6 linked regions of the Ovis aries genome follow. The protein of the gene in region 4 interacts with the protein of the main gene of each other region in a biochemical or structural test. Links are inferred from orthologs where the notes say so. Each region holds a gene or a part of one and is shown on either strand. Other genes may lie near its edges. The genes, in order: KLHL13, CENPA, RACGAP1, AURKB, CDCA8 and KLHL9.

The links.
Region 1: of the proteins of AURKB (region 4) and KLHL13, one has a biochemical effect on the other in vitro, tested with the Homo sapiens proteins (2 studies listed by BioGRID and IntAct, with this or other methods). The link is inferred for Ovis aries from reciprocal best matches to the Homo sapiens genes AURKB and KLHL13.
Region 2: of the proteins of AURKB (region 4) and CENPA, one has a biochemical effect on the other in vitro, tested with the Homo sapiens proteins (3 studies listed by BioGRID). The link is inferred for Ovis aries from reciprocal best matches to the Homo sapiens genes AURKB and CENPA.
Region 3: of the proteins of AURKB (region 4) and RACGAP1, one has a biochemical effect on the other in vitro, tested with the Homo sapiens proteins (2 studies listed by BioGRID and IntAct). The link is inferred for Ovis aries from reciprocal best matches to the Homo sapiens genes AURKB and RACGAP1.
Region 5: the proteins of AURKB (region 4) and CDCA8 form a complex in vitro, tested with the Homo sapiens proteins (3 studies listed by BioGRID, with this or other methods). The link is inferred for Ovis aries from reciprocal best matches to the Homo sapiens genes AURKB and CDCA8.
Region 6: the proteins of AURKB (region 4) and KLHL9 form a complex in vitro, tested with the Homo sapiens proteins (2 studies listed by BioGRID and IntAct, with this or other methods). The link is inferred for Ovis aries from reciprocal best matches to the Homo sapiens genes AURKB and KLHL9.

The regions. Positions count from the first base shown.
Region 1 is NC_056080.1:116,536,123-116,540,407, forward strand, and holds the start of KLHL13 (kelch-like protein 13), read left to right. Parts: upstream 1-1,485; 5' UTR 1,486-1,641; intron 1,642-1,933; coding exon of another isoform or gene 1,934-2,010; exon of another isoform or gene 2,011-2,395; intron 2,396-2,594; exon of another isoform or gene 2,595-2,662; intron 2,663-4,227; 5' UTR 4,228-4,285. Other genes in the region: WDR44 (WD repeat-containing protein 44), read right to left, coding at 1,934-2,010. UniProt on the Homo sapiens protein: Substrate-specific adapter of a BCR (BTB-CUL3-RBX1) E3 ubiquitin-protein ligase complex required for mitotic progression and cytokinesis.
Region 2 is NC_056056.1:33,923,376-33,927,327, reverse strand, and holds the start of CENPA (histone H3-like centromeric protein A), read right to left. Parts: upstream 2,801-3,952; 5' UTR 2,684-2,800; coding exon 2,590-2,683; intron 1-2,589. UniProt on the Homo sapiens protein: Histone H3-like nucleosomal protein that is specifically found in centromeric nucleosomes. Replaces conventional H3 in the nucleosome core of centromeric chromatin that serves as an assembly site for the inner kinetochore.
Region 3 is NC_056056.1:136,300,577-136,304,076, reverse strand, and holds part of RACGAP1 (rac GTPase-activating protein 1), read right to left. Parts: intron 2,853-3,500; coding exon 2,722-2,852; intron 2,096-2,721; coding exon 1,931-2,095; intron 208-1,930; coding exon 112-207; intron 25-111; coding exon 1-24.
Region 4 is NC_056064.1:27,652,583-27,654,594, forward strand, and holds the end of AURKB (aurora kinase B), read right to left. Parts: exon of another isoform or gene 1,963-2,012; coding exon 1,814-1,962; exon of another isoform or gene 1,142-1,813; coding exon 967-1,141; exon of another isoform or gene 809-966; coding exon 635-808; 3' UTR 501-634; downstream 1-500. UniProt on the Homo sapiens protein: Serine/threonine-protein kinase component of the chromosomal passenger complex (CPC), a complex that acts as a key regulator of mitosis.
Region 5 is NC_056054.1:12,512,377-12,515,289, reverse strand, and holds part of CDCA8 (borealin), read right to left. Parts: intron 2,269-2,913; coding exon 2,173-2,268; intron 1,067-2,172; coding exon 940-1,066; intron 188-939; coding exon 1-187.
Region 6 is NC_056055.1:89,892,476-89,896,596, reverse strand, and holds the start of KLHL9 (kelch-like protein 9), read left to right. Parts: upstream 1-1,321; 5' UTR 1,322-1,851; coding exon 1,852-3,705; 3' UTR 3,706-3,806; intron 3,807-4,121.

The sequences.
Region 1 (4,285 bases), on a different chromosome or scaffold from region 4:
ATAATGCCAACCTTGTGCAGTCCTCTCAGTACTGCTAGTTCTTTTCAGATTAAATTCTCCTGATTAAATTTACACAGGTAGAGTTTAATTTCCTTCGAAAGCCCCTCAATAATGCAGGATGGAGCCTTGAAATTCATAGACTGACAGTAGTTTTGCCCATAGAGCTCAACATCCTCAATATTTGGGCAGGTTAGAGTTAAAATCAGAAGGCTGGGTCCTAAGAGATGTTTTTACTTTTTACCTAGCATATCAAAGGATCATAGTGCTTGAGAAGTTTATTATCCCAGGAGGGAAGAAGTGACTAGCAATTCTATCAAAATGACTCATTCAGTTTAGATAAGTTAAATAACTCCAAGTTGTGCATACTTCCTCCCAAAGTAAGCACCCTGTGAAGTTAAATTTGCTAATTACAAGAAAGGAAGGAGAAGGAATGAACACTGGAGATCTTTCTGCCAGGTACTGGACTACTAGGCAGTTTACACAGGTCCTGATGTAGCTGTTCGTCAAAATTAAATGCTACATTCATTGAAAAGAAACAATACTCATACAGCTCTAAATTTATTAAATCATATGATTACTTTAAGGGGAATACCAGGAAGACAAAATTTAATTTCACAGGACTCCTATATACTTGGAAATCCAAGTGAATTTTCTATCCTCTACCATCTAGCTGTGAATTTGTGAAGTTAAAGGAGATTCAATGCCATCTCAAGATTGGCCATTGCCAACCTTCAAATCCTATACTAGTGATTTGAAGGTTGGTGGAAACACACTCATTAACGACCTACCAACATACATTTTCTCTGCTTTTGTCGCTGTAACTTTTGGGGTACATATTATATATAATACCTATTCAGTTTTAGAACGACTTCTAGAATGTACAGATAATATTAATTTGCATTAAGGTATTTCTTCCACGGGTAAGCTTGCAAATTGAAGGCAGCTGACTTTTGGAACCATATTAGTGACTTTTACAGTAACATGACAAATTTTACCCATTTTCAAGTTCCTATAGCACGAAAATGTATTTCACTGCCTCTAGTGCCACACAAGACCAGTAGAGGAGTTCGGTGAACTCGCTTTAAACATTATTCCAACTCGGAAGAGTCGGGAGTGGGTCAGTAGAAGTCCCAGGCAAGCGAAGCATTCCAACTACTGTAGTTCCTACTCAGAATCTCCCTATTAATCACCACTAAAACATTTTGCAGAATTAGATAAAGAGCACAAAGCTGTGGCTCTCCTTCCAACCACAGATTACTCAGCACTTGTTTGTATCACTGTAGTCGGTTGTACACATTTCTGTACGGCAACTCTTTTAAGACCGCAGTCTCGCTAATTGTAAAGGACCTCGTCTTCGATTTCCTCTGCCTCATGGCAAGATGTTATTTTGATAAAACACCGTGGATCTCGAGTACATCAGCTAGAGGACTTTCCTAAGTAAACACCCAGTCTTCCCCCTCCCCTCGCTCCGCTCCTTTTCTTTTTGTGCAACCAAAAGAGGACAGCAAATAGGGAGAAGTAGAGACACCTCTGAATCGGATAGGTAAGTTAGCGGCAAAAGAAGGAAAAAAACCCGTCACTGCAATTCCTGTTACCGCTCCTTTAATCTATGGCCCCCAAGGCCAAAACGGATGTTTCAAGGTAAGCTCTGAAACCCTCAAATACACATCTCTGGTTCTCGAGCTCGTAAACTGTCCCACCTCGCAGAAAGCTGGACAAGAGAAAGCGGCTCCGAGAGAAGCCCGGGGGCCGTTTACCAGGGCCAAGAGCGGGGTTTGCCCGAGGTGGGCGATTGCCCTCCCCGGAACTCACTCTGAAGTAGCCGAGGGAGACGGAGGGGCTGCGGCGACGGGACCTGGAAGGGGTGTAGGGGGGAAGGCACAGGGGAAGCCAGGAGACGGGGACGCCTGGCTTCTGGGCCAGGGCTACTTACCCGGTAGGGTCGCCGCCCTCAAGGTGCACATCTTCAGGGGCATCAAAGAATTCCTCCGTGTCGCTTTCCGACGCCATTTATAGGACACACCCGCGGGTGAGGGGGCCGGCGCCGCCTGGAGGGAGGGTGACTCTCGTCTCCTCCTCGTCGTCCTCCACACCGGCGAACCGTGGGGAGGTGGGTCCCGGGGAGGATGAGGAGGGAGCAGACGATCTGAAGAGAGGAGCTGGACAGGGGGCTGCCGGCAAGTGCCGGACTGAGGCAATAACCGGCAGAGCGGCCGTCTGAGGAGGCGGCGGTGGACTGTTGCTGCCGCCGCTCCCGGCGATAGGTGTGCGAAGAGAGCGAAAGAGGCGGTGGCTCTCCTCAGTGGGGGAGGGCGGGCGCGCGGACGACAGCAGCTCCAATATCTCCCGCAGCAGCAATTACAGCTGCTGGGAGAGCCAGTTGCCCGAAAAACACGGACGCGCACCTACCCTCGCGAGATTTCGGGAGGGGCCGGTGGGGCGTGGGTGGGGCGAAGAGGAGGCGGGGGCGGTTCCTGAGAGGCAGAGCTCAGATTTTTTGTACTCTAGAAGCCTATCAAAACGGCGCAAGCGCCGTTGAGGGCGTTCGGTGAGGGCCGGAAGTAGTGGGGAAGGGTGGGGATGAGTGTTCTGAGGGGAGGAGTCTAGAGCCTACGCCTGAGCGACGCGGTCCCCCGACTTTGTGGGAGCGCGCCTGATGTAGGTGGGGTCCGGCAGAGTGTCCCATTCTCTAACTCTGCAATTCTAAACAGAGGCATTTTTAGAGGGGTGATTTGGAGTTTGCTGTTTTTCTTATGAGGAAATGGTGTCGGGATAAGTTGGCATTGTGGTTTAAATTTTCGTCGATTTAATTTATCCAAGCCCAGATTCCCAAACCCTAGGGAGTAGGCGGGTCCACCTCCTCTAGCGTTATGGGGCATAACCTGTGCTATTTAGTACAAGATCTCTAATTGAGATCTCTAGATAGGATCCTGCTGGCCAGAGGGTGGGGTCCAGGAGAGATAGTGGGGAGTGTGCCAGTTCGATGGAGTAATGATGGATTTGTTGCTGGAGCCGAGCCACTGTAGGGCCTCCGGTTACTTTCTCTTTACAGATAACTATTGTTGCCCACACTTAACGGGAGAGAAATTCTTACATACTGGTCAATATGTGCATCAGTCAAATGGTAAATATATTGAGCAGATTCCGTTGCAAGGATAAGAGTTTGTAACTTAATTCTGATCCTCAACTGCCGTGTCCAGTGATGAAAATAGAAAGGTGCTTATAAAAGACTAAGATGTTCTTTGTTAACGCATCATTGACCATCAAAGTGATAAGGCTGACTTTATATATAATCGGGAAACATTTATTTTTCCAACTGCCATGACAGGAAGGCACTCGGAGCTGTTTGCACAATTGTTGCTCAAGATGGCGGCAGAAAAGCAACTGGGACCGGGGTCATGGCCTCAGAGAGGCTGGAATGGGATTCTAGATTCCTACGTGGAAAGCTACCAGGAAAAGACCTGGGGTTGTCTGGCGAGTTTGTGTAAAACCGAATGCCATATACTATGTATTCTTTAACACCCTAGGGAGTTGAGGGCAAATGCTGCATAATCAAATAGGGTAGTATTTCTTGCAGCAAACCTTATGATTATTCATAAGCGGTAGATAAACACTAGTAAGTAGCCACCTTCAGTTCAGGTCAGCTACTACTGTCAGATAAGTTTAGGTTAGACTAAGTTGACTGTCAAATAAGTCACTAAAAATACAAAACAAAAATGTTTGGCTTCCAGAGCTTTTTGTAATTAAGAAGTGCACAGAAGGGATTTGTGGACCCAATTATTAGCTTTTATGTGTTTTAAACATGCTAATTTTCTAGGTTTAAAAATATATCTCAAAGTACAATCTTTTTATTTTGTTGCTCACTATAAGGGGCTTCCCAGGTAGTGCTGATGGTAAAGAACCCGCCTGCCAATGCAGGAGACCCAGGGTTCAATCCCTGAGTCAGGAAGATCCCTTGGAAGAGGGCATAGCAACCCACTCCAGTATTCTTGCCTGGAGAATCCCATGGACAGAGAAGCCTGGTGGGCTACAGTCCATAGGGCTGCACAGAGTTGGACATGACTGAAGCACCTTAGCATATAATCAGGAAAGATATGCTTTTTTCCCTTATGGATTATGGAAAGATATAAATAAATAAACTACCTGAATTTATTTTCTTCCTAGCTATGTAATAGTGAATTTACATTTGCCTTAAAAATTAAAACTTACTGTCATGTTCTGTTCTAGGTGCTGAGCATAATTCAAAGACGACAATTTACTTCCTGTTTCCCGGGAGCTCACAATC
Region 2 (3,952 bases), on a different chromosome or scaffold from region 4:
TCCTTACCACTAGTGCTACCTGGGAAGCCAAATAGTAGACTGTAGAAAACAGGCTCCCCAAAACAGGGGTTTTTGTCTATTGCGGTCATTGTGGTCATCTTCAGCAACTGGAGAACAGTGGATCAGTGCTACATAAATATTGGTTAAATCAATGAATAAATGATCCTTTCAGGGTCCTACTGACCCTCAGTGATGATCCTTTGAGGATCTTAATTTAAATGCCAACTCTTTCACACATTACCTTAATCCTAATGTAATGGGAAGCCACGGAAGAGCTTTAAGCAGGACGGAGAGTTGATACACTTTTATTTAAAGATCACTCCTGCTCCTATGTAAGGAAAGTACTGAAAAGGGACAAGAGTAGAAGTGATGTCATAGCTGGCTTAGGGTTGGGGCTTAGATGAGGCTAGTGGGAGTAGAAAAGGAAACAAGTGGCATGATTAGGATGCGATGTAGCAGTAGAAGTACCTGAACTTACATTTGGATTGGATGGACATGGGGCATAGAATGAAAAATCTCTTCCAGGTTTTTGGCTGTGGGAGGTTGTGCCATTTACTGAAATGGGGGAAACTGAGGATGAAGAGGCAGGAGAAGAGTAACCAAAAGTTTGCTTTTAGATGTGTTTGGAGAAGAACTGACTCACTGGAAAAAACCCTGATGCTGGGAAAGATTGAAGGCCAGAGGAGAAGGGGATGACAGAGGATGAGATGGTTGGATGGCATCACCAACTCTATAGACATGAGTTTAAGCAAACTCCAGGAGTTGGTGATGGACAGGGAAGCCTGGTGTGCTGCAGTCCACGGGGTCGCAAAGCGTCGGACACGACTGAGCTACTGAACTGAACTAGTGTGACATACCCCAAAGTCACACTAGTAGGACATAGGTATGTGGAGTCAGAGGCGAGACCCGGGCTGGAGCTAAACGTGTATGTGAGAGCTGTCAGAGTGTTAAGTCCTACTGGAGTCAAAAGGAGAGATGAGCCCCCCTGGGGAAGGGAAAGAAAGAAAAAGGAGACCACGGAAGTCCAACATCAACTTGCTCAAGAGAGATGGCACAGGCACTAACCACTGAGTAGAAATTACAGAGTGTATGTATCATGGAGTCAGGGGGATGGAGGGTTTTGAGGAAGAAATGGCCCACTGTGTCGAATGCTTCTGAAAGACAGGGTAAGAGAAGAACACAGGCATGTCTAATAAAGTTGGCAACACAAAAGTAGTTGGTGACCTTGACAGGAGTAGTTCAAAGGCACTAGACACAGGGGTAGTGGTTATGAGAAGTCGGATTGGAACGAGTTGAAGGGTCACTGGGAAGAGAGGAAAACACACACATGGCAACACTAGTCTCAGGGCCTCAGTAACAATAAAATAAGAAAGAAAATGTATAAAAATGAAAAAACGATTCAAAAGTCATTACTTGCCCATAATATAATAGCTCACTTGAAAATTTCAACTAAAGCAACTAAAAGACTATTAGGATTCACAAGAGAATTCAGCAAGTTCGCTAGCTGCAAAGGTTATTTATGTTTAGGAAAGAAAAAAATCCTATGCACTATAGCAACATCTACAAAAAACCGATAACACTTTCTTCTCCCTGCTCTTAGCTATGGAGCAGGAGACAAGTAAAGCGGTTGCTGATGGTTAGGTCTCCCATCCCCCAGACCACAGCACAGAAACTGAGGACCACAGACCACCCTTCTTTCCAGGCATATACCTCTGCAAGAGGACAAGGTGAGAGAACAGGTTGAGTTAGGGCACTTTGGTTAAGGCCCAACACAGCCTCTCACTGAAGGGAAAAAACCCCACCCCCCCACCCACCCAAATACCTAAACAGGCACCTTCTAAAAGTAGAACTGTTGTTGTCACAAAACTTTTGTGAAGTTGTCACCAAAAGTAGCCAATAATTTTGCGACTGAAAAAAGCACAAACACTGATTTTAAAAAATCCTGTCTGCGGGAACAGATTGGGTGACCTTGCTCAAGTTAGCAGGTCTGTCTGAGCCATTTGTAAAATGGGCACAATATAAATTTAAGTAACTTCGTATAAAGAGTTTAACATAATGCCTAGTTAGTGGTAAGCAGTCAACCCATGCTGTTAGTATCAAGAATGTCTAAGCCAGTCCTTTCTCCTCCTCGAAACTGCTTTCCTCAGTCCCCTCCGGGTTTTGGACCTTGTTTCCGTACTGAGCTTCCCTGGTGGCTCAGACCGTAAAGCGTCTGTCTACAATGCGGGAGACCCGGGTTCGATCCCAGGGTTGGGAAGATCCCCTGACGAAGGAAATGGCAACCCATTCCAGGACTATTGCCTGGAAAATCCCTTGGACGAAGGAACCTTGTAGGCTACAGTCCATGGGGTCGCAAAGAGTCGGACACGACTGAGCGACTTCACTTTCACTTTCCGTATGGACAGAACTGCTTTGCCCCCTGTAGAGGAAGGCGAATGGACCGGGATTGGGAGAATGGGCTCGATCCCAGATCAGCAAGGAGCCTCAGCTTTTCGTCTGTGAAATGAGCACGTGGACTGGGTCCGTACCCACCTCACAGACAGGCTGTAGGCAGACCGGCTCAGAGGAAAATGGATCGTGGCAGGTTACCTAAGGACCGGGCCGGCCGGCGGGCGGCGGGAGCCGGGCTCACGGGGCGCCTCCTTGGTGTTTCGGGCTTGCGTCTCGGGCGGTGCGGGCCCATGGCGGGCGAGCAGGGCTGCAGCCCCGCGGCTCCTTCTAGATCTTCTGGGTCCGGGGACAGAGGCTGGGAGGGCCGGGGCGTCCCGGCCGCGTGCCCCGGCTGGGTGCTATTCGAATTGCCCTCGCCGCCGCCAATTCAGTGGCGGCGTTTTTTAAAAACCGAATCCAGCGACTCCCACTGGCTGCCTCGGAACGCTCCTGGGCTAACGGCGGCGGTGATAGGAGGAGACTACGGGGATGAGGCGGATCGACGGTAGGAACCAGCCAATAGAGACTTGAAGAAGTGAAAGGAGGCGGGAACTACTCCGCCCTCCGCTCGCTCGGAGAAGCCCGCATGTTTGATGGATTAGACCCAGGTAGTCCCGTGGCTTCTGGTCGTAAAAAGAAAGCTCCATTCTGACTATGTAGACGGTACGTGTGTGGAACGCGATTCTCTAGATGAATCACTTTGCGCAAATATTTTACGTTTTGCTCTATTAATCCTAAATTGGCTTTTAAAGACTCGGAGACAGGCCCAAGGAGAATGTGACTATTCTGTGCCTCTCCTGAGACTAGGGTCACCCGGAACACCCCACGAACGCGACTCAGAAATGAGCATTAACTCAGTTCATTTCAGTCGCTCAGTCATGTCCGACTCTCTAAGAGCCCATGGACTTCATCATGCCAGTCTTCCCTGTCCATCACCAACTCCCGAACCTTGCTCAAACTCATGTCCATTAAGTCGGTAATGCCATCCAACTATCTCATCCTGAACGCTATTAATGATTAGGGTCGTGGGACAGCCAGGATGGGAACTCTGACAATAAGATCAAGCAGGGCAGTCTTCAGCTCTTTTCTTGGATCATACGCTCCAGCATTTCAATAGAATCATCCCAAGGGAAAAGATCCCTTCCCTTCCTGTTGGGGGATAATATGCTTGAGGGCAAATATAGAACTAGACAGTTAGAATAAAGGGGGTTTTACATTATGCTTTTTTTGTTTGTTTGTTTTACATTTCCTAGATGTTCTATAGTAACCTGTGACTGTAATCAGGAAGAATGTTACAAAATCAGTGATCTTAGAGAACCCTTATTCACTGCTGGTTGGTGGGGATGCACATTGGTGCAGTCACAGTTGAAAACAGTATGGCAGTGGATCAAAAAATTAAACATAGAATGACCATATGATCTAGCAATTCCACTTCTGCATATACATTCCAAAAAAAAAGCAGAGGCTTGAACAGGTATCTGTACAATAAGGCTCATAGCAGTGTTATTCACAATAGCCACAA
Region 3 (3,500 bases), on a different chromosome or scaffold from region 4:
GCCTGAGATCCGATACAGGCCTGTCTGTTATCAAGATGACATTTTCAGTTAAAAACCTCTTAATTACTGATGCAAATAACAAACTCACCCTCTCCAAGGATGGACTCTTACCTCAGTCAGTCCTCTTTGCTCAATCTCATTTACACAGTGGACAACAATTGACGGTATCATTGGAGAAGTCTGGGACACATAATCTGCCAGCATTCCCTGAAAAAGGTGAGTTTAAAGTTATTATTTATACCACTTAGACTAGCAGATGAAGGCCAATGGGAAGAGCCATCCCCAGACTAATACTGAGGCTGGGACACCATGCCTACTTTAAAATTCCTCTTCCCAAAGCATAAATAAGACTAGAGCCGCTCAATTATTCTTCCTACCTCTACACCAGGACTGATTTATGGTCACATGTACCACACTCTCACATGAACAAGTAATAAGATCACTGGCTACAACTCCACCCCTGCTCCTCTTACAGTCAAGGGCATCAGAAAGAAAGCAATAATGAGATTACAGGTGTGGAGTGTAATATAAACTAAGTTATTACTCTAAAAAATCTGTTCTATCCTGTAATTACTCTTAGTAAGAAAAATTATTTAATACAACTCAGTTGACTATGACACACACTGATCTGTAGGAGAGAACTCCGTGGCTCTATAGTACAGAAAATCTGTAAAAAAAACTACATGCATGGATAAAAATTCTTAAGATTAAAGGACTTCCCTAGTAGTACAGTGGATAAGAATCCACCTCCAGTGCAGGGGACATGGGTTTGATCCCTGGTCTGGGAAGATTCCACATGCCACAGAGCAACAAGGCCCACGCGCCACAACTGCTGAGACTTACGGGCCTAAAGTCTGTGCTCCACGAAGAAAGAAGCCCGTGTACCACAACAAAGAGTAGGCCCACTCACTGTCAACTAGAGAAAGCCCTCGAGTAGCAACAAAAACCCAGAACAACCAGAAAAAAAATAAAGATTAAATGGGAATCATGCACTAAAAGAAAAAAAAAAGATTAAAGAAAAGTAATATTTGATTTGCTGGAGGCTGAGTAGCAGCTCAATCATTTTGTTTTGATTCTTGCTAATGTTGCTTCTAACAATAATTTCTTAATGAATTGAATCAAATTTTAGAAATGAATCTAATCTTAACAGCCTAGTATGGAATATCTCCAACATAAGATAAAGAATATTCAAAGATGAAATTATATCATGGCTGGGATTTGCTTCAAAATAATTCACTGAACAGGGTCAGGAGAAGATGGAGGTATTAACAAATCAAGACTGGACATGAGTCAGGGATCATGAAAGCTGAATGATAAGATATGAATGATAAGAATGATAGGGGTTAGTTACACTCATCTCTCTACTTTTGTATATGTTTGAAATTTTACAAAAGTAGATGGGATGGGGATGGGAAGGAAGAGAAGAATAGGAAGCGAAAGGAGGGAAGGGAGAAGGAAAAAGCAAGAAAATAAGGAAAGGGAGGGAAAGAGGAAGAGGAAGGGAGGGGAAGAAAAGGAAGAAGAATTTGGTTTAGAAAAGCTACTAATCAGACAGACAAACCCAAACAGGATTCTTCAAGTTAACATTTTATAATTTCTATTCACTATTTGAGGGAGGAAATGTACATGGCGTCAATAATTTTTGAAAAAAATGACCATAAGCTTTTAAAGGGCTTCTCTGGTGGCTCAGAGGTAAAGAATCCACCACGACACAGGGTCTATCACTAGGCTGGGAAGATCCCCTGGAGGATGGTATGGCAACCCACTCCAGTCTTCTTCCCTAGAGAATCCCCACAGACAGAGGAGCCTGGCAGACTACGGTCCATGGGGTCACAAGGGGTTGGACAGACTGAAGCGTCTGAGCACAGAGGCTTTTTAAAAGCTAACAAAGTCATAACACAGTGAGGGCTCCCACAGGTCATATACATACTTCTCCAATCTTGACAGGTGTCCCTGTCAGGGTAGGAATACAGGGAAGCGGACAGCGGTCCCGACATTCTGGATGAGAGACCACACGACAGTCTCGACACTTCAGAGACAGCTTGCCAAATTTTATTCGCTTTCCACATGGTACACAAGATTCGGGTTTAATAACCTGAGGATGAAACAGGGAATGGTATGAATTAGAACATTTATCATCAATCAACATTTATTAAGCACTTAGCATGTGCCCAATAGCTTTCTCATCCCTTTACACATATTTTTTACTTGTGTAATTCTCACAATAATCCTATAGGGTTTTTTTTTTTTTTTTAAGATAAGGAAACAAGCAAAAAGAGGCTAAGTAATTTGCAAAGGGATCACCATACACTAGTGGAAAGAAACTGCTGGCAAGGAGTCAGAAAACCTCTATGTTAAACTCTGCTACTTACTGTCCTGTGGCTCAAACAAGTCAGTTAAGGCCTCTGTGCCCCTGTCAGTTTGCTTGGATTTTTACCAGAAATCAAATGGGACAAAGTTAAGGCGTGCCATATTCAAGCATGAACTGTAAATACATATCATGATAAAGCAAACACTGCTTCTGAAAAGTTGCTTTCTTTTACTATCACTCACAGAATGGAAAGATACACACCCTCTCTAACCCTGGAGAGGGGGATGAGGAGGAAGGAAATTTGACATTTAACTTTACAACACTAAATATTTAAATTTGTGATTAGCAAATATTACGCCCACCGTTAAAAAATTAGATGTGTCCCAAAGCAGCAGCAGCCCCAGCTTTACCGTCTTAGAGACGAAGTCGTGCAGGCGCATCCCCCCATTGCTCTGCGGAGTGCTGGAGCCGTCTGTTTCGGTTTTTGGCTCTGGCTGCCTGCTGCTCAATGTGGAGTCACTGTTCCAAGGCTGTAAAGTACCTAGAAAACAGACAACTCCAAGCTTTGTGTCTTAGATGTTTCGTTCCTTCTGAATTTTTTTTGCCGCACCCTGTGGTTCATGAGACTTAGCTCCTCAACCAGGGACTGATCCCAGGGTCCTTGGCAGTCAGAGTGCGAAGTCCTAACCACTGGACCGCCAGGTAATTCTCCCGTCTGAATTTTAACCCCAATTCTAATATAACCAGTAGGGACTTCCCTGGCAGTCCAGTGATTAAGAATCTCCCTTCCAGTGCCAGGGGACATGGAAAAGAAATATGTCTTCCATGTTGGGAAACATCCCACATGCTACAGGGGAACTAAATAGCCTGTGAGCCACAACCAAAGAAACGTGCACGCCACAACAAAGATCCTGAGTGCCGCAGCAAAGATCCGACACAGCCAAATACACAATATAACTAGTAGATAACCAGGAGTCTATAACACCCAGAAGTGAACTATGCAACACAGTTTCCAGAGAGACAAGCTACACACCAGCGGTGTAGGTCAGGCTAGCAAGCCAAAGCAGGGCATGACAAAACAGGGCTCTGTCCCCCAGTAAGAAGCAGTACAGTGAACGACCTGAAACATCCAGCCCCTGACTCATGAGGGTTCTAAGAAACCAGTTCTCCCCGGATTTCACCAGTTGTT
Region 4 (2,012 bases):
AAGCATCATACATAGCAGTGAAACTATGGGAACAAGTTTCCCATAGGTCAGGAACAAGACACCATCAGCTTCTATTTACTCCTGTGCTAAATCCTCACCAGAGCAGAAAAACAAAACAAGAAGACAACTTTAATTGCTCCTAGGTCAGCAAGACTGACCCAGGAAAGGGAAAGATTAGAGGTCAACTAAGAGGGAGTAATAGAAGGTGGGTGGAGATGGTTGGTGATGGCTGATGTGCAGGCATAGCAGAGTAGAGCCAGGTCCCCAGCATCCCCAGGCCTGGGAGCCAGAGCAGGGGAAAGGAAAGATGTGGAAGTAGGATGGTTGGGAGCTGACCAGATGAGGTTAGAGCTGAGAGGTTGCTCTCAGTGCTGAGGGGTGTTCCCAGGGGTGATGATGCAGTGCCCACCCCACTGCCCAGCATGGGCAACTCCCTCGCCTCCTCCCCATGGGTGATGACTTCCTTCACAGCAGTCTCCACATGTAAACATCTACACTCATCAGTACAAAAAGCTTCAGCCTTTATTAAATAAAGAGGAGGTAGAAGACAGATGCAGAAACAGACTTGGGACCCCCCTCCTCCTGGCTACACATATACAGACACAGACACAACTGAGAAAAGGACAGGGACATTTCAGGGGACAGACTGAGGGGCAGAGGGAGGCAGCACCCTGCGAGAGTGGGCTCGGACCCAAGGGTGGGCAGAGACCTGGGCCAGCGGCAGGCGTTCTGAGGGGTTATGCTTGAGCAGCTTGGAGATGAGGTCCTGGGCTCCCATGGGCACAGAAGGAGGGAACTTTAGGTCCACCTGCAAGAAGGAGAGACAGGCTTCATCCTAGCTGCTTTTGCCTCCACTTCCCACTCTATTAGCAGGGTTTAACATCAACAGCAACAGTGTGCCCACTCCCTGCCCCAGCCCCTGAGCTGGCACAAACTCCAGCCAGACCCCGGGGGCCAGCCTCCCACCTTGACAATGCGCCGGTACGTCTCATTGTGGGAAGCACTCTCGAAGGGCGGGTTTCCCACCAGCAGCTCGTAGCAAAGCACGCCGATGCACCACAGGTCCACCTTCTCATTGTGCGTGCGCCCCTCAATCATCTCTGGGGGCAGGTAGTCCAGAGTGCCGCACATTGTCTTCCTCCTGGGGTGGGGCGGGGGAAGAGGGGGAGTGGGCAGGGATCTCAGATCCAGACTTTCCCTCCTTTCCCTGCAGCCTGACAGGGAGCCCAGACCGACCACAGGATGTGCCAGGGGTCTTCCAACCAGGCTCTGATGGGGTCTTTGGGGTAGGAGTGGGGCTAGCACACTGACTCTGCATTTCCACACTGAGGGCCGTACCTTAAAATAAATCAGATATGAGGGCAACGTTCACCTTAGAATTATAGGAAGAATTTCAGATGTTCATCAATCACATGTTGCTTAATCACATTACATTTCTACTGTGCAATACTATGAAGCCACTAAAAATGATGTGGGAGTATTCTCAGTGATATGGCAAGAAGGTCCCATTGTTTCAAGTGAGAAATCTGAGTGACAAAACTGAGACTCCTATTTTTGTTTTTGGCCACGCTGCACGGTTTGCAGGATCTTAGTTCCCTCGACCAGGGATTGAACCTGGGCCCCCTGCAGTGAAAGCTGGAGTCCTAACCACTGGACCAGCAGGGAACTCCCAAAGTCTCCTATTTTTGTAAAGATATTGCTGTGTCTATATATTTACATGAGAACAACCCAAAATGTCTCTGGGTAACAAGATCTGAAGTGGTTTTATTTTGAATGGCTTCATACCCAGGGCTGGCCTTCTGGCCCACCATACCTCAGGGAGGGGGCATGCACCGACCAGCCAAAGTCAGCAATCTTCAGCTCACCCCGGAGCCCCAAGAGCAGATTCTCTGGCTTGATGTCTCTGTGAATCACCTTCTTTGCATGGCAGTACGTCAGAGCATCTGCCAGCTCCTCCATGATCTGGGGGGCCAATGGCAGACAGTCAGAAGAGGACTGACCTCAGGCGGCAA
Region 5 (2,913 bases), on a different chromosome or scaffold from region 4:
GTAAGTGTAAAGCAGTAGCCCAGACCCAAAAGGCGAGCCTAAGAATGGCTAAACCCAGAAGGCTCCACCCTGTGTGTGGAGAGGAGCATGAATGACTTACGGAGAGCTTCTTAATGTTTCCCAGGGCCTCTGGATCCAGCTGGGCAATATCGATCCTCTGCAAGTCACTGGCCAATAACCGCATGCTCTGTGGGGAGGGGAGAGGGTTAAAGTGGCTGGTCCCTCAGAGCAGGAACCTCTGCCAGCAGCCCAGGGTGCCCTGGGGGTCCCCTTGATATCCTGCACTTGTGGGGGGTGGTGGCAAGGCAGGCAGGAGGGGTGTGAGTCCCAAGGAGACAGTGATGTTGGCGTTTATCACTGGGTCAGTGGCTGGATCAGCTGAAGACAAGGGGTGCACGTTCGCTTAGAAATGCCCTGCAGACCTCACGTAAGATAAACCATCCCCTCCGTCCCCGAGCGGAGGTCAGCAACTTGCTCTGTTCTGCCTGCTTCAGACTCCTCAGAATTACACCAAGTGGAAGACCCTCATGCTGCCCTTTCTGGACTAAGCATGCACCCTGACAGTGCCCTCCTTTGCACACCCTTTAAAATCTCCTTCACTGCACATATCGCATGCTATGTTATTAACTGGGAGCCTAGCTTGACTACTGACCGCTACTCGAGGGCAGGAATGTCTTCCACATCTGCTATTAATACAAGATACGTGGGCCTATGTTAGCTGATGAGCAAATGGAACGCAGAGCTGGGCAAGAATCCTCCCAGGCTGGAGCTCTACCCTGGGAGAGGAAGTGGTTCTGAGTCCTACGGAAGTGTGGAGATGACGAGCCAGGCAACCAAAGGACTTTGGGTTCCGGGAGAGAGGTGGGTGATGGACAAGAGAAAGAAATGGTGAGTAAGCTGCGCAAAGTGGCCCGACCCACCCCTCCCTGGAACACTCACCTCTCCGCCTCCCACTGGCACAGTGAGGAATATCTCTTTGCTGTCGGCGAGAGGGCTGCCGTTCACAGAGACATTGTAAATCCGCTCTCTGGCCGCTGGAGTACGCAGGCCCGGGGTCTTGAAGATCCTATAAAGTGGGGAAATGTCTGTAAAGATGGCTTGGCAGATTGAATGACACCAGGCGCTATGAGCCCTTCCAAACTCCATCTGGCCTCAAGCTGCAGTTTTCAAATCACATTTCTAAGAAGGCACGTTCTAAATTTAGGGTTAAAAAGCAGTAATGACTCAACACAGCTGGATAAAGGAGGCTGTAATTATCAAACATACATCTAGCAAAAGTAAATTCTTATCCATGTAAATTTTAGGTCCAGAGCTCCATACGGAGAGCAGTCACCCACCCATCCATCCACCCACAAGGCCAGAAATAAATGCTGGCTAATATATTTCTAAGAGTGGCTATGTGCTTCCATCAGAAATTTTCCAGGGTCAAAGGAGGATGGTTCAGTGATGACATCATTATGTTAATTCCCAAACTGACTTTCTTGAGATCTTTAAAGTGCTTCCATCTCTTTTTCCCTAAATGTCCTTTGCTATATACTCATGCAAAAAAAAAAAAGTTAAGGAGGAGTGAGAATTAGAAGTAGAAGGTAGGTCTTCCTCCCTCTCCCACTCCAGAGACAAGCATGCCCAGTTCCTGACGCATCCCTCCAGAAACTATCAAATGGGATCGTCTGGGGCGTGCTGCTCTGCCGCCTGTGTGGAGAGGCTCCTGACCATGAGGCTCTTCCCATCAGCACATGCAGAGCCGCTTATTTTTTAATGGCTACACAGCATCTGCTATCCAGTTGACCAGCACTGTAGAAGGGATTAATTTATGCTGTAAGAACATCCTTAGTTATATTGGTCTCCCAAAAGGTGGTGTTAATTTTCACTCCTACCAAGGGTATGGGAAGAGTACCTACCAACTTAAAATAAACTTAATCAGAATCAGAAAGGACCGAAATAGTCACTAGAGGCCTCCAAGTCATCAGGGACAGACTGGTCTCCTCCCTCTCATCAGATAAACAATCATTTTGCCACTGAAAACAGGTGAACCTGCTCTCAGGGGAGAGGCAAACATTAGGAAACGCTCCTGAGTGAGGCTTTCCAGTATTTTCTTAAATACTCTTCTCTTCTGACAAATGTCAAGTACTGGGCTCCCACCAAAATCCAAGCGCTGCTGCCAGTACTCACCTTGAGTCAAACCTGGGTGTCAGGCCCGGAGTTGGTTTCACCAGCGACAACTCCAGTCGGCCCACAGCTGGGGTAACGGTGGCATAATGGCTTGACCTACGGGAAAGACACAGCCATTAGGTGCACCAACTCTCAGGTCCAGTGACTACAGCGTATAAGCAGGTAACACTGAGCATGTCGGAGCCTGTCCTGGGCGCCTTCCACACATTAGCTCATGCAGCCTCTTCGCCACCCTGTGAGACGCACCATTATCCTCATTTCCAGATGCAGAAACTCGGGGACATTAGGGCAGAGCCAGAACCCTGAACCCAGGCAGTCTGCCTCCAGAATCTGACTTCTCAGTCAAGCTAAGGGAACGAGAGGAAGGAGACAGCCCCTCTGCACCCTGTAGGCCCCCTAGCTGGAGCTCCTGTCCTCTAGCCAGACAGCTCCCACTGCCCAGGGAGAAGAGAGAGGAGCTCACTCTTCACAGACACGCTCCAGTGACTCCTTTCCTGAGCTCATTAAGAGGCAGCCCCTCCCCCACCCTCCCAGCATAAGAAATTCAAGTCCATGGTGATTCATTGCTTAGCAGGACCAGGAGGAATTTTTCAAGAAACTAGCCACAGGTAGGTGATAGCCACTTTGTGACTAACCATGTGGGTAGCTCTACACACGGATTGTCTGGCAACTGAACAAAATATGCAGTGCTTACTGTTATGTTTCTGTGTCTTATTCATCTCCCTGTTTGCATTTTAAAAA
Region 6 (4,121 bases), on a different chromosome or scaffold from region 4:
TTGCCCTGGAGATAGCATTTCACATACTCTGGGAAGCTGCTCCAAAGAGGTAGAGGGGTGGTTGGTATATATGTGATTTTAGTGAAGAGAGGGGTATATGCAATCAAGCATGTTTTTTTGCAGAAGGTTTTGCTAGTCACGAGGGAGCAGATATCACCATGAAGGAATTTAGTGCTTTTCTAGATATGAGGAGATGCAAAAATTGTGCTCCTAAAATCAGCTCCTGAAAATATCTATCTGAAGACCTGTTCTGCCAGTTTTTCCAGAGCACAAGAGTGCCTCCTTTCTGATCTCCACTCTGAACACCCATCAGGTGGTGTTGAAGGTCAGCAGCTACAACAGCAGGAGAGATTTATTCAATCCTTGTAGAGGTAGATGGCAAGTGCCAATGAAAAGTGCCAATATGTAGTTTTTCAAAACATCTCTGGTGACAATATTTTGCAAAAAACTTTGTATGTCTTCAAGCAGCATTCTAACATTAGGATTTATCCCAAAATGGGAAGTTTTGTGCTCGGAGTCTGTAACATTGGAGAACAACGAAGTATATATTCAGGAACAAATGACAATTGTCTATCCATTTAAAAACTTGTGAGTGGAAAACAAAAGCACGAAAAATTTACTGATGGAATTCTGCTGCATGGCAAAAATTCAGCCTATATTATTTACATAGCATGGTCATAATTTGGTATTTTAAGAGAGGCAAATAACCTGTTTTAAATGATTAAAATCTGAAAATATGTACCCAGAGTTATACTTGAACTGTCTATTAAATTGTGTGGGATAGGTTTTTTGTTGGTTTTTTTTTTGGTTGAGGAGTTTGAGGGATCTTGGTCTGCAGCCAGGGTTTGAACCCTGGCCACAGCAGTGAAAGTGCCGAGTCCTAACCACTGACCTGCCAGAACATTCCCAGTGTGGGATAAGAATTAATAAAGTTTGTTTTTTATAGAGGAAAACTAAAAGCATCTTTCCCCTAAGGAAGCCTTCTGCCAGGTTTCAGCTTCCAGAAAAGCTGCATTTCATTGTTATCCAAAAGGCAGAAGCCAAGAAATGTAAATCTCGAAGTATTCATTTAGAGGAACAGCTCAGCTGCAGTGAAAGAGTTATATTAAAAATAATATCCGGGCACCCATTCCTATTTAATAATACCACATACAAAGTATCCCGAAGACACCCCGCTGGCCCACCCAGCACAGCTCTGCGCGACCCAAACCCCGCCTGCTCGAGGCACGGCCCACATCCTCCCATCCCCCACACAAGCCCGCCTACTGGCTAGGTCGGGCGGCTGCGCAGCCGCAGTAGCTGCCACGGCCGCTCCTAGCCCGGGGGATCCTGGGACGAGGCCTTTCCGGAAGGACCGGCTCGGCGTTGGGAGCTCGGCCCGTGTTCCAGGCCCAGGCTCGTGTTCCAGGTCCTTGCTCCAGGACGGGCCGGTAGCCGCGGCGACGCTCAAAGGGCGGCGGAGGGCGCGGCGGGCCGCTCTCTGAGGTGCCGGCCCTCGCCGTCGAGCGAGACGCCGGGCCGCAGGACGTGGCGGCACCTCCCCCTTAGCCCGGAGCAGAACTGCGGGAAGAGCAGCGCAGGCCGGACCAGGTGAACCGGGTCACTTAACTGCCTCAGGTGATGAATCATCTACATAGTAGTCAGATTTGAGGTCCACAGCCCTCTGTGGGCCAGCTGCAGAACAATTTTCAATGTGGGACTATTGTGTTCTGAGGCGTGCTGCAGTGACAGTTTGCCCTTGATAAGGAAAGCGAGCTCTCTTGCTCTTGGGACATCCTCGTTTCCTTTAAAGCTTTCCGGTCGTAACCTCTTTGTCCGGCATACATCTTTGTGCAAGAGGAAGGCGTTCACATGAAAGTGTCTCTTGGTAACGGTGAAATGGGCGTCTCCGCCCATTTACAGCCTTGCAAGGCAGGAACCACACGTTTTTTTACCAGCAATACTCACAGTTCGGTGGTACTGCAAGGTTTTGATCAACTTAGAATAGAAGGATTGCTTTGTGATGTGACTCTGGTGCCAGGTGATGGAGATGAAATCTTCCCTGTTCATAGAGCTATGATGGCGTCCGCTAGTGATTACTTCAAGGCTATGTTCACAGGTGGAATGAAAGAACAGGATTTAATGTGCATTAAGCTTCACGGAGTGAACAAAGTTGGTCTGAAGAAAATTATTGATTTTATTTATACTGCAAAGCTTTCTCTTAATATGGACAATCTTCAGGACACTCTTGAAGCTGCCAGCTTTTTGCAAATCTTGCCTGTTTTAGACTTCTGTAAAGTGTTTCTTATTTCAGGAGTCTCTTTAGATAACTGTGTTGAAGTTGGACGAATTGCTAACACCTACAATCTTATAGAAGTAGATAAATATGTCAATAATTTCATTCTGAAGAATTTTCCTGCCTTACTGAGTACTGGAGAGTTTCTAAAACTCCCTTTTGAACGGCTTGCCTTTGTGCTTTCTAGCAATAGCCTTAAGCACTGTACTGAACTTGAGCTCTTTAAGGCTGCCTGTCGCTGGCTAAGGTTGGAAGATCCTCGGATGGATTATGCTGCAAAATTAATGAAGAATATTCGATTTCCACTGATGACACCACAGGATCTCATCAATTATGTGCAGACAGTAGATTTTATGAGAACAGACAATACGTGTGTGAATTTGCTTTTGGAAGCTAGCAATTACCAAATGATGCCATATATGCAGCCAGTGATGCAGTCAGATAGAACCGCCATTCGATCTGATTCGACACACTTGGTTACATTAGGAGGAGTTTTGAGGCAGCAGCTGGTTGTCAGTAAAGAATTACGGATGTATGATGAGAGGGCTCAAGAGTGGAGATCTTTAGCCCCCATGGATGCTCCTCGTTACCAGCATGGCATTGCTGTCATTGGAAACTTTCTTTATGTAGTTGGTGGTCAAAGTAATTATGATACAAAAGGAAAAACTGCTGTTGATACAGTTTTCAGATTTGATCCTCGATATAATAAATGGATGCAGGTTGCATCATTAAATGAAAAGCGCACATTTTTCCACTTGAGCGCCCTCAAAGGACATTTGTATGCTGTTGGTGGGCGAAGTGCAGCTGGTGAGCTGGCCACTGTAGAATGTTACAATCCAAGAATGAATGAGTGGAGCTATGTTGCGAAAATGAGTGAACCCCACTATGGCCATGCTGGAACAGTGTATGGAGGCTTAATGTATATTTCAGGAGGAATTACTCATGACACTTTCCAAAATGAGCTCATGTGTTTTGACCCTGATACAGACAAATGGACACAGAAGGCTCCAATGACAACAGTCAGAGGTCTGCATTGCATGTGTACAGTTGGAGACAAGCTCTATGTCATTGGTGGCAATCACTTCAGAGGAACAAGTGATTATGATGATGTTCTAAGCTGTGAATACTATTCGCCAACTCTTGACCAGTGGACACCAATTGCTGCCATGTTAAGAGGTCAAAGTGATGTTGGAGTTGCTGTCTTTGAAAATAAAATCTATGTCGTAGGTGGATATTCTTGGAATAATCGTTGTATGGTAGAAATTGTCCAGAAATATGACCCAGAAAAGGATGAGTGGCATAAAGTTTTTGACCTTCCAGAGTCACTTGGTGGCATTCGAGCTTGTACTCTCACAGTTTTTCCACCTGAAGAAAATCCTGGGTCACCTTCCAGAGAATCACCTCTTTCAGCACCTTCAGATCATTCTTAGGACCAAGGTGTAAAACCTTTGCAGTGCATCAAGGATGATCCCGTAATTCCCCTTCAGTTGTATCTTCTTACAATGATTGGTACAGTTATTAGATTAAAAAGGTAATTGATGTTATTTGTATTGTTTGGCTTAGTATGTTTATCAAATGGTTAACAACTGTATTCTGCAAATGTATGTGTTCAACATAGCTATTTTAACAAATGTAAAAAGCAGAAAAATTGTTAGATATCTTTTTGTGGTGTTGTGTAAGGCAGAGTGTAGGTGATTGAAGTAAATGTATAATTATGTTCATTATGCTTCAAAGTTGAAAGTTTTCATCTTTGACTACAAGACATCAAAGGGAGGATGCCTACTATAACCTAAAATAATAAACAAAAAAGGTCGTCAAGCCTTATTAGCTGCTTCCCTTTTTTCAT